2 linked regions of the Drosophila melanogaster genome follow. The protein of the gene in region 2 interacts with the protein of the main gene of each other region in a pairwise test. Each region holds a gene or a part of one and is shown on either strand. Other genes may lie near its edges. The genes, in order: alphaTub84D and ND-39.

The links.
Region 1: the proteins of ND-39 (region 2) and alphaTub84D interact in a two-hybrid assay, tested with the Drosophila melanogaster proteins (one large-scale study listed by BioGRID).

What each region holds. Positions count from the first base shown.
Region 1 is NT_033777.3:7,528,810-7,533,418, forward strand, and holds alphaTub84D (alpha-Tubulin at 84D), read left to right. Parts: upstream 1-1,943; 5' UTR 1,944-2,449; coding exon 2,450-3,802; 3' UTR 3,803-3,923; downstream 3,924-4,609. Other genes in the region: Rtnl2, read right to left, coding at 146-438, 511-985. UniProt on the Drosophila melanogaster protein: Tubulin is the major constituent of microtubules, a cylinder consisting of laterally associated linear protofilaments composed of alpha- and beta-tubulin heterodimers.
Region 2 is NT_037436.4:20,490,142-20,497,882, reverse strand, and holds ND-39 (NADH dehydrogenase (ubiquinone) 39 kDa subunit), read right to left. Parts: upstream 5,802-7,741; 5' UTR 5,669-5,801; intron 4,642-5,668; exon of another isoform or gene 4,393-4,641; intron 3,221-4,392; exon of another isoform or gene 2,962-3,220; intron 2,537-2,961; exon of another isoform or gene 2,532-2,536; 5' UTR 2,404-2,531; coding exon 2,364-2,403; intron 2,259-2,363; coding exon 1,808-2,258; intron 1,726-1,807; coding exon 1,360-1,725; intron 1,292-1,359; coding exon 898-1,291; 3' UTR 799-897; downstream 1-798.

The sequences.
Region 1 (4,609 bases), on a different chromosome or scaffold from region 2:
GTTAAGTAATGATGTTAAAATTATGGCCAACTGATTAGAAAAGAAAAAGTATATGAGTGGAAAATATGTAGAATATATATTTCCACAACATTAATTTTGAACAATAACATCAAAGAGGGTGGATTCTTATTCATATGAATATAGTTTAGCGAGCCTCAACTGGCAAATACCGGTGCTCGCAATCAGGACAACGACATCCTTTGTGGAGCTCTAGGAGATTTCGAAGTGGCTCATTATCGCATGGCTCATATAGTACTTTGCCCTCTTTGGATTCCTGACCCTCGTATGCTGACTCCGGCGGACACTCTTTCTGAATACAAATCGGTTTTTCAACGTTCGATTTATCTATCTTGCATTTACGGAACTTTCGGATCTGGACATCAACGAATGGCTTATACGACTCGTACAGTTTTGGTACGGTAAAAATAAACAAGTGTCCTATAAAGAAAAATTATTTCAATTTAATGTAACTTTATAGATAAAGTAAAGTAAGACAACATATGCACATACCAAATATAAGCAAAGTCAATCCGTTGAAGCAATCGCCCAGCAAATTGATGCCGCAGAGCAAAACTAGGAACTTCAAGGAATCCTCCCACTTTTCCACCAGCAACAATTCTATCATACGGTTTAAAATTAAATTAATATGGGAAACTGCTTTCCCGGCCAGATAAAGAGTCTCCTCCCGGGGGATTTCTATCTTCGGGTGAGGATAGAAACGTAAGATCTGATCTTTGTTCTCATCCTTCTTCCAGATACTCCAGAACTGTACCAAAAGGCGATGGCCAATAGCTGCTATGAGAACTGTGATCCCTACCATGCTTATCACACTGATCACCGAGTGGACCATCACATCCAGCAGGAGGAGCAGGATGCCCGTGAAGACGATCAAAGTCTTTCGGCTATTGCGCCATAACAACAGGTTCTTCAGATCCATAAATATTTGGCTGGAGTCCTTAGCCTTTATCAAAGTATCGGTACTCATATTTTCGAATGTCTTTAGAGCACGTTCGGATGCTGGTTGTGAGATCAGAGCAAATAATGTTTTAAGTTTTCACAGCTGACTAATATTTCAAAGGTCAACCGAATAGACAAACTAAAATGATTTCAAATTGTCAGGTCGGAATGTATTTCGATTCACCACAATGTTTGTGTCTTGCTTCAATTCAGTTCACAGTTAAATTTGAAAAGTTTCTCGACATTGTATTTCTCAAAATGAAGAAAGCGAAGATATTCTAAAAAATATTTTTTTAAATTTTACTACATTTACCTAGCTAATACCGAATGCTTTGCGCACATTATTCATCCTTTTTTTTTAGCTAACTAGCGGGTTTAAATAGTAGTTTTTACTTACGCATCTTCAGAAAATCTTCAATTGTATGAAAATATGAATAATACACAAAATAGTAGCAGATTCCAAAAAATGTTAGCCTTTTGACACGAATAGCACAGACTGGTCCCAATATAAAGAAATACATCTGTGGATTATTTCAAAGCATACTCATTTCGCGCGCAATTAATCGATAAGTGCGCAAAATGGATCGATAACTGCGCAGTACTGTACTGCTCTCGGAAATTACTGCCTTAAAAATATACCAAGCGGGTCAAAAGAGTTCGTTGTGTTTACGGACGGGTTGCTCCATTCTTTAAAAATATATGAACATAAAAAAATTACTTACTTCTTTTATCTCTATTTCAATTTATTTTGTTCACTATGACCTACTGACTTAATGCAAAAATGCACTATTCGGTTTACATACTTTGTTCATTTTGGTAAATAGTAATAGTAGATGTTCTAAACACATGTAAAATTACTTAAACGGAACATTAGTAATTTGACGCTCTCTTGAAATAGGCATTATTAATTGTGTTAATATGCAGTTCACTTATACAAGGCATTGGTATTATTGAACTGTTTGGTATCTTTAAATTTCCCACCGGCGGTCACACTTAATCTACTGAACAAGCGTGCTTGTGCTAAATAATTTTACTGATCTTTAAATCTCGTAAATACCGCCATTTAGCCGCATCTGAACACTCTTGCCGATGGTAATCAATTATTGGCCAAGAGCTAGCAATGTTGTGTAAAAATCAGCGTGAAACTAAAGCCGAATTCAAACAAACAAACCAAAAAGCGGCCTGACAGGGTTTTTCGTGCCCCCAGAGCAAAATCGATTGGTAAAAGAAACGCGTTTCGTATAATATAGATAGTTATCTAATATCTAATCTAATATCTGAGTTGTTGTGAAGCCCTTTTTCGTAAAACAGAGCTACTGGCGATTTACGTCTGTTCGAAATCCATTCCCGGGCATTCCAACGTATACGCCCGCAGAGTCAGACCCCAAAATCCGTAGGCTTACACTTTTTCCGTTGATTTTCCGTAGTCGCGTGTGAGAAACCGAAACTCGAAACAAGAAACCCGGAATCGGAAACCCCATTAAAAATCAATATGCGCGAATGTATCTCTATCCACGTGGGCCAGGCCGGAGTCCAGATTGGAAATGCCTGCTGGGAGCTCTATTGCCTGGAGCACGGCATCCAGCCCGATGGCCAGATGCCCTCCGACAAGACCGTAGGCGGAGGTGATGACTCGTTTAACACCTTCTTCAGCGAGACTGGAGCTGGCAAGCACGTGCCTCGCGCCGTGTTCGTGGATCTGGAGCCCACTGTGGTCGACGAGGTCCGTACTGGAACCTACCGTCAGCTGTTCCACCCCGAGCAACTGATCACCGGTAAGGAGGATGCGGCCAACAACTACGCCCGTGGCCACTACACCATTGGCAAGGAGATCGTCGACCTGGTGCTGGACAGGATCCGCAAGCTGGCCGATCAATGCACCGGTCTGCAGGGCTTCCTCATCTTCCACTCGTTCGGTGGAGGTACCGGCTCCGGCTTCACCTCGCTGCTGATGGAGCGTCTCTCCGTGGACTACGGCAAGAAGTCCAAGCTGGAGTTCGCCGTGTACCCAGCTCCGCAGGTGTCCACCGCCGTGGTGGAGCCCTACAACTCCATCCTAACCACGCACACCACCCTCGAGCACTCCGACTGCGCCTTTATGGTGGACAACGAGGCCATCTACGACATCTGTCGCCGAAACCTGGACATCGAACGACCCACTTACACTAACCTGAATCGTTTAATCGGCCAAATAGTGTCCTCGATCACCGCCTCTCTGCGATTCGATGGAGCCCTAAATGTGGACCTCACCGAGTTCCAGACCAACCTGGTTCCTTACCCCCGCATCCACTTCCCGCTGGTGACGTACGCTCCCGTCATCTCCGCCGAGAAGGCCTACCACGAGCAGCTGTCGGTGGCCGAGATCACCAACGCCTGCTTCGAGCCAGCCAACCAGATGGTCAAGGTGGATCCCCGTCACGGCAAGTACATGGCCTGCTGCATGCTGTATCGCGGCGATGTGGTGCCCAAGGACGTGAACGCCGCCATCGCCACCATCAAGACAAAGCGTACCATTCAGTTCGTGGACTGGTGCCCCACCGGCTTCAAGGTGGGCATCAACTACCAGCCACCCACTGTCGTCCCAGGCGGGGATCTGGCCAAGGTGCAGCGTGCCGTGTGCATGTTGTCCAATACCACGGCTATTGCCGAGGCCTGGGCCCGTCTGGACCACAAGTTCGATCTGATGTACGCCAAGAGGGCCTTCGTCCACTGGTATGTTGGTGAGGGCATGGAGGAGGGCGAGTTCTCCGAGGCCCGTGAGGATCTGGCTGCCCTCGAGAAGGACTACGAGGAGGTCGGCATGGATTCCGGTGACGGTGAGGGCGAGGGTGCTGAGGAGTACTAGAGCGGATAGGTGTGCATCCCTCAAAATCTTGCTTATTTTCATACGCTCCCACTCGCATGTATAAATTTTCTGCGATAATGTATAGCGAACAAAGAAGAAAATAAAAACCCAAGAAAACACCAATTTATTAACCACGTTTAGTAAAAGGCACGAGAAAGTTAGTACTTTAAAATTAACTTTAATTTTATATATGACCAAAAGTCATGCATTAAAAAGTTGTTCACGTGGGGTACATCTGTATATTATTAATTTGCTTCATTTTTATTTTGTTGGTTGGTTAATGTCCTCTATTAACATAGGTTATTTATAATTTAACAGTCCACAGGAAACCGAACATCATAAAGGTGTCTTATCTAGGATTTCAACACCTGTATACAGTAAGATTAGAGAACGCTCTACCTGGCTAAACGGTAAGGTTTTACCAGGCTAGAAACTAAAACTAGAAATCCACGTATGCAAGTCGATGGATCCAGCTTTCCATATCATTCTCCAATCATCTAGGGTGTCCAAATAATATAAAGTTTTTCTTTGCTGCATAGAATTCAGCCAATAAAATTGAACAGAGATCTATCCATATTTTCATTCATTTCTATTTACTAAGCGAAGATTCATAAAAAAAAAAACCAATAGAAATAAATTTCCAGCCTTAATAATTCTTGAGATCTCGCTAGTGATCCTAATGAAGACAAATTTATATCCTCAATAGAGTTTGATTTAGATTTTTCGACGTGTAGCGAGAATAATTATTTCTTCTTTAAGAGGTATAAGGATATAAAAGCAAAATTTAAAATTCCGAATTCCTAAAGA
Region 2 (7,741 bases):
TACTCTTATCCTTTACCCCTTGCTTGTGACAGAGCTCCTCCTCTTTCCGTTCCGCGTGCAGTTGTTGTTGTTGTTGCTGCTGCTGCTTGTTTGACCTTTTCTTTTGGCCAAACTTTCTGCCCCCGTCGACGTCACAGCTGATCGATTTGCTGCACTCGCTCGGCGATTTATCCGCCTCCTGGCTTTGCCTGCTTTTTCGATTTTCCCAATTCACATTCGTCGTCGGCCGTGGGAATTCTGCTATCATAATTTGTATGCCACTTATGCCATAATTATCACACTCACTCTCACTCACACGCACAAAAACGCGAAAAGAGAGGCGGGCGCGCGCTTGTGTTGTTGTTGATATATTCTTTTTTCACCGCTTAACCAAGCTGAAAAGTTGAAAATCTTTACACACACCAAAAACACACACACACACAGACTCAGAAAACTTGGGAAATCGAATTTTCCGTACTATGATTTTCCGGCCATAAATCTGCACGGGCGTAAGTTTCGGAGGAAACTGCTGCAGAAAAGCTCCTGGTCGCAAAGGAAGAAAAATCGGACGGGCGAAGCGTTGCCAGACGATGACAGCGATTTCATTTGTTTTGATTTAGTTGCCGGAGCGATGTCACCTCAATAAGATACCGAAAAATACCAAAGGTATTTCGAGCTGCCAATCTTTTTTCCGACATCAAACTTTTCTAGCCATTTGACTTTTTTTTCAAAAGTATTTATAAATTTTTTTATATTTAAATGCACGAAATAAATACATATATCAATGTCTATATAATATTTGGAAATATAAGTTTCCTTCGTTGTCATTGGGTCTTTCGACTTCTCTTTATTGACGCATCGCCTTAAACAATTCCAACTAAAAATTTCCAATCAACACAGACAGCTACTTCGCTCCGCTTAGGCAAACAGACGCAGTTCATCGCGCGCCTCGATGCACTTGGGCGGCGAGGGAGTCTCGAACTCGCCCAGCTCGGCGTCGTAGTAGAGGGCGGCGCGGTAGGGACGCAGCTCCCATGGCACCTGCTGCTCCATTGTGGTCAGCGTGACGCCCAAATCCTCAAGCGTGGGGACACCAGTCAGAACCTTGTCGGTGACAGCCTCGCGTTCGATGCGAGCGGGATGCAGACCGCCAATCGGGGTGCCGGGGCAGATGAAGCTGTTCAGCTTGGCTTTCAGCAGGAAGGTGGGGTCCCAGCGCATGTCGTAGCGCATGTAGCCCCAGCGCTTCTGGTCCTTGCGCATCAGGCGGTGGAACCAGTCGACCAGCTCGCTCAACTGATAGCGTTTAGGTCTGCAGAGAATAAAGGAAATTAAGAAAATGTACATGGTACAAATACTTGGACTCGGAGATTGACTTACCCCACAGCCTGGTAGATGCGGCCAGCGCTGTCCGGATCCTTGGCGGCGTTGATGATGGCCTGGGCCACGTCCGAAACGTAGACGGGCTGCTTGACGGTCTTCTCTCCCTTGTGCCACAGCGGCATCGAGCGGAACTGACGGCGCCAGATGTGGGCGTAGTAGCGCAAGAAGCGATCCTCGGATCCGTAGATATCCGCAGGGCGGATGATCGTGGCGTTGGGAAAGGCGTCGCGTACGCGAAGCTCACCCTCGTACTTGCTTTTCAGCCACTCGCTGCCGCCCTTGACGTACAGATCCTTGGGATTGGCCTCCACGTTCAAAGAGGACAGGTGGATTAAGCGCTCCACGCCAGCCTCGCGCGCAATCCTGAAGAAATAAAAGTGGTTTACGTCATGCAAAGTTAGAATGAAGAAGTGGGCAGGCAAATAATGCTGGCTATGATGTTCACCTAGCGATCCTCTCCGCTCCGTTGACATGGACATCCTTGAACTTGAAGTTCTTGGTCTCGAAGTCCCTGCCCACCAGGTTGATGACCACGTTCGAGTGCTTGACTGCGTCACGAATGGAGGCGGGATCCTCCAGGTTGTAGAAGTGAAAGAGTACCTGGCCAAGATCACCGGTGACCTTAAGACGGATAACATCCGAATCGTCACCGCGATAGGGCAGGATCATCTGGGTGCCAGATTTGCCCAGTTTGTTGCAGACATAGCGGCCCACGAAACCGGTGGCACCGAAAACGGTCGCCACGATCCCATTGAAACTGCTACGTCCGCCAGTTCCGCGCTTCATGGCAGCCGGATTGGTGGTCTTCAGTGGACGTGGACCATCTTCCGGCGGCGCAGCAGCGGCGGAATATCCACGCAGGCACAAAACTCCAACCACGCCACTGCCGTGGTGCTCTAAGTATCCGGAATTGGACAGAGAATGAGCCAAAAGTTAGCCACAAACATCGTATTACATAATTGGATTGCCTGGCGGTTTTCGACCGCAGGCACGGTACTCACTGGCCAGCTGGAGATTACGGGTTAGTACTATGGCGGCCATTTCGCACCGGCACACTGGACCAACTCGATTCGGTTAATTTACGCTTAAAATCCTATTTTATTTCGGAACAGGCCAGTTTTTTATTTTGCCCCACGACAGTGTGACCGTGGCGTAGCAATTGGAATATACTAGAATTGACAGGTTGATATCAAAAACTACCGTCAAACAAAGCTGCCAGACTGAAGAAAAACATTTGATTTGGAAAGTAACAGTTTTTTCTATAGTTTTTAAAAAGCCCTGTTAACCTAAAGTTAACCCTAAATATGTAAATAATTGACCTCATAACCAATAGACCGTGTTCGTGGCCATTGCATACCAAACATATTTTAATTATCTGATTATCAAATATCGGTAAATGCTACTACGGTTATAACTACTATGATCTCGAATTATTCATACTATTTAGGTGGCACTAATAATTTTACCTCATAATTACTTTGACAACCTTGGGGATATCTTAGCCTCTTAGCGGTAATTAAACCGTCATATAAACCACTCTTCTTGCTTGGCACTAGTTTATAAATATTTGTTGGCAAATAAGACATAAGCTAACCGTGTCCCAGTTGAAAAGTAACTGCCTTGCTTGTCACACCGCAAACTTTTTATCTAATGTGCGTGGCTTAATTGCAATTTCCAGCCCGCGGATCGTTTAATTCGGCACGGCTTGGGTTCTACGGACAAAGAATTCAGTTAGCAGTCGCCTTCGAGCTGTAAAACCGAGAGCATCGGGAAAACTTAGTGTTATCTGTTCGAAATCGGCCAACTAAGGATTAACTATTTCTACGGACCAAAAACACCGATAAGCAGTGAAATAAAAGTGAGCTTGTGGTGAAACTGTTCATAATGGATACACATTTTTGCGGTTATAAAGTGCGGACCACTAGCTAATTTGGTTTGAATGTAACAGCTTGGGTAAACTAATTAGTACCGAGGGTATATAAGTTAGTAATTTGTTTTTAGATTGGTTAAGATAATGGGATTTCAGGCGAATGCGACTGTCATGAATAACCTCCTTCGATACAAAAATATTTCTGGTATTGTAACATTACATTATACACATGCAGTGGGTCAGGATATACAAAAAATTATAAACATTTGTCAGTGTGTCAAACGCGTTCTTATACATATATATGTACGTATTTGTGTATAAAGAGTAAATTTCGTGTCAGATATTTCTATTGAATCACCCTGTCTAAAAATAAATAATAAAACACATTGTTTATATTATTGTTATAATAAAACACATTGTTTTTTGTTTGTTGACTTCAGTTGTGCGTTTGATAAGTTAAATATCTGCACAGATCACTGCTTTTGACAATTGAGGATGTAATTCTATAGAGATTACCATAGCTTCATATGTAAATATGTATTTATAATATTTATTATGGCATTGTTGTTGTCTCATAAACCTACCTAGATAACGACAATACAAACATACCTACATTTGACAGGCATAAACAAGCAACATATGTATAAATTTCACTCTCCTTTTTCTGCTCTCATTTCGCTCTCTTTAATAGCTCACATGCAATCAGCTGATTTTTTTTCAACCTGCTCACGCACTTTTTCGCCCACACAAATACTATCACTGTTGCTTTCTACCTCTCTCTTCCTTATCTCTGCTCCCCACCCTTTAAATTTGCGGGCTTTTCGTTTGTTTTGCCGGCCGTGGTTATTGGTGTTGTTGTTGCTCCTATTCGACCATCTCTCTTTGCCTTTAATACCCTTACGAAGAGTAACTCAAAAGTAAATAAATAAATAAATTAACTACTCTTGGAACATATCCGTTCTAGTGAAAAAATTAAAATTAATTTTAATTCAATTATGAATGCTCAGAATTATAATGAGGAAATCTTCTTGTTTTTGTAGAACATAGCTTTACTAGTATTATAACATTTCGAATTTCAATTAAAAGAGTACTTATAGTTCGGCATGGTGCTTCGGGTTTTCCGTTTATTTTGCCATATGTATATTTCTCGTCGTCTTTTGCGATCATTCGTGTTTGAGCCGCGCTGCAGTTAACAACGATCTGAATGATTCGCTCCCGAAAAAATTAGCGCGTGTGCCTCGAAATATTTTAAATCGCTAACGTGCGTGTGTGTGAATAATAATAATAATAATAATAACAATAAAATAGGAAAAGCTACATTTTCCAAAGCAATTTACGCTGCCGCGGTTATAATTAGAAAACGTAAAGCGAACGCAGGCCTTTTTTCGCTTATCAGAGTCCAAAAGACGGTAATTCTCCAGTTCTTAGCCACAGTATTAGGGGTCTAGACTGATAAGGGCTTTTCGGCCGTATGCGAAATTCGGCTTTGTATCTGGGCCCAGGAATCGGAAAAATACGCCCTAATGCGCGCAGTTTTGGATACTCGCAGATTGTATATAGATGACTGATTCGTTAGCGGGCAGATTGTAGATCCATTTAGCAAGTGATTATTAAGACGCCTCGCGCCTCTTGGCACCGATGTGAAAAAATATTGCCCGAAATATGTATTACTTCTGCGGTGTATAAAAATAAGTTCGATCGAAATTAATGCTAATTAACGGTTATATCTGTCTACGATCCACCTGCCAGTCGCATCGAGATTAAGCTAAAAACAAATTCTCACCCTTAGCTAATTCAATGGAAATTAATCCCGGGCCTTGGCTCAAGTTCTGAAGAACCCAGCTCGGCCGTGTTTCCAGTTCCAAAATATTATAAACAATTACTCTATGAAATAATAAACAAACTAATTTGTTTGCGATTGAGTTAATAATGCATTTTTGGTTGCACGGTTATATTAGCCAACTCAAATTATTAATCTAAAGAGTAGCGTGAGATCCAAAAATTTTACATTTATATTAAAAGAAAAATTATTATATTTTAATCTCTTACATAGAAAGCTATTATTGTATTTATTACTTCTATCACTGCAACCGCATTGTATGTTTATAAATTTAATTCAATTAGATTTGTCGTTTTGTAATTTCGAGTCATTAAGTGTAATTGAAGTGGGTCTTTAGTAATCAGCATTAATATCAAACTTCGTATTATTTTAATGGGTTTTTGTAAATCATCAAAAAATCTCTCGGACCCCAACTGATCACGTTTTCGATGAGGATGCAGGGAAAGCATACATATGTACATATATAGATATATACTTATGTATATAGGTGCAGATTGCACGTAGATGGTGGTGCATAAAATCGTAATTAAAATATTTACACTTCTTTGTTTATTATAATGGGAATATTTCATTGAATCGTGTGCTTCATCACTTACTATGTACAGGTGGTCAGGGTTGTGAATTCGCGAAAAAAAACGTGGATTGGGTTTCACTTTTATGATTATGGGCTAAAAAGCAGTAAGATACAAGCTGGATTTTTATAGAACACACAATTAGTACGGAAAATTTAGCCGAGTGCAATGCAATTTAACTTATAGCCTACTACTTACTAATATGGAATAACTTAAAATCTGCATACTTACTTTCGCCTAGTTGTTCCATCTTTATTAACTCTTATCTTACATCTTATATTTATAATGTACCTATGATTTTAAGGCTGTATTACCTAAATAAGTCATATTTACATCCCATATTATAAGAGAGCCCCCCTAAAAATATTAATTTCCACTTGGCAACATTTACCGGTGGCAACATCAACATTCCCCATCGAATCAATCCCTCGACTAGTGATGGCATTTTAACCCACTGAAAGCCGAGTTGTTTTCGATATTGTTTTCCAAATCGCTCTTATCAGTCAGACCTGTCCACTTACCACTTAATCACCTGGGGTGAGATAGCGATAGGGTCGGTAGACAACTATCTCTATCTGCTTATCAGGAGTCCGATTTTGGCGCGTTCGAAATGTTCAAATGCGCCTCATGGGCAACAAAGTAATAAAATATTGGCAGCACACGTTGTCTGTGGCCCACTGATAGACAATAACAATATTGATAGAATTTTTAAATAACACCGTTCCCTTGCGAATTAGAAATTCCAAAGGCATCGGCAACCTTGTCATCGTGTCCGAAATGGTCAAAATTGTTAGATTTTAGCTGCTGGTTGTTTTGAAAACAGGCCAGGGACCCGTATAGGAAGTATTTTTGTAATTCAGTTTAAAATCTACGCAAAAACCAATAGGCAACAAATGCTGTTTGTTGCCAAACTTCATTTGTATGCAGGCAATGGTCCGAAAGAAGCAAAAAATTAAACAAGCAAACAGAATTAATGCACCTGAAACCTGATGATGGCAAATCAAAACAAAAAGCAAATGTTATTGGTCCCGAATTTTACTGCACGCTTCACTTTTTGTTTATTTTTTCAATTAATGGAGTGAGCTGTTGCATTGGTCTAATTGGCAATTGAGCTGTCAACTCTTGGCTCAGATTTACGATCTGGACTTTACGCCATCTGAGAAGGTCCGGATTCGAGGGTAATCAAATAATTATGACAAAAGGGGTGAAAAAACATTCCATAAAAACCTTAAAATTTTGCAATTGAATTCTCGAAAGTAAAAAGATTTCTCGCAATACTAATCTGTGAGCAATTTCATTTTTGTAAAATAGTTGTTTAACTATACATAGCATCTATAAAATAACCAGATACCTGTTACTCAGATGTCGGGATGCATGCCTTGTCTCAACTTTTTACAAATATCTTTAAAAAAATATGTACGGTCAGACGGACGGACGGACATTCAATTGAACATTGGACTTATTCGCAATTAAATAGCTAGTTAACATACAAACTAAAAGAAATTTATATATAAATTTAATTACACGTTATAAGTTGTTCATTTTACTTGCCGATTGCTTCTGTTTTCACTTCAATAAATATTTCGAGTGATGTTAAATCAAAGGTTTAGCGGCGATATCAATAACAATACCGATATGTTGCATATTAATTTTCTTTATTTAAACAGTTTACCACCAGTAAGCATTAAATTTGAAAAAAAAAAATTCGCTAAATATACAAATCCAATAAATACGAGCAATTACTTTATTCAATCTAGCGTGATATGCCAACTTTTTCTTTTTTTTTTAATCGGTTTCGAAAACAAGTGTACATTAAATCTTTTACCCCAAAAAATGGCATTAAGTCTGTTGACCTTGCATTACCCTATTATTACTCTAAAATTTTCCTGGGTGTCTAGTATACCCTCCTGCTCTACGAGTAATGGGTATACAAAATTGTAAATGAAAAGCTAAGCCTAATTTCAGCTTTTAGACCTGCCTTGACATCTTTGCTTTTTTTTTGGTAGTCTTTGGGAACCGTCAGTTCTCATCCACATGCCACTCATATCACACCACATTTTATCGGGAGGATCACTTCGTTATCTTCATTATCCCCTA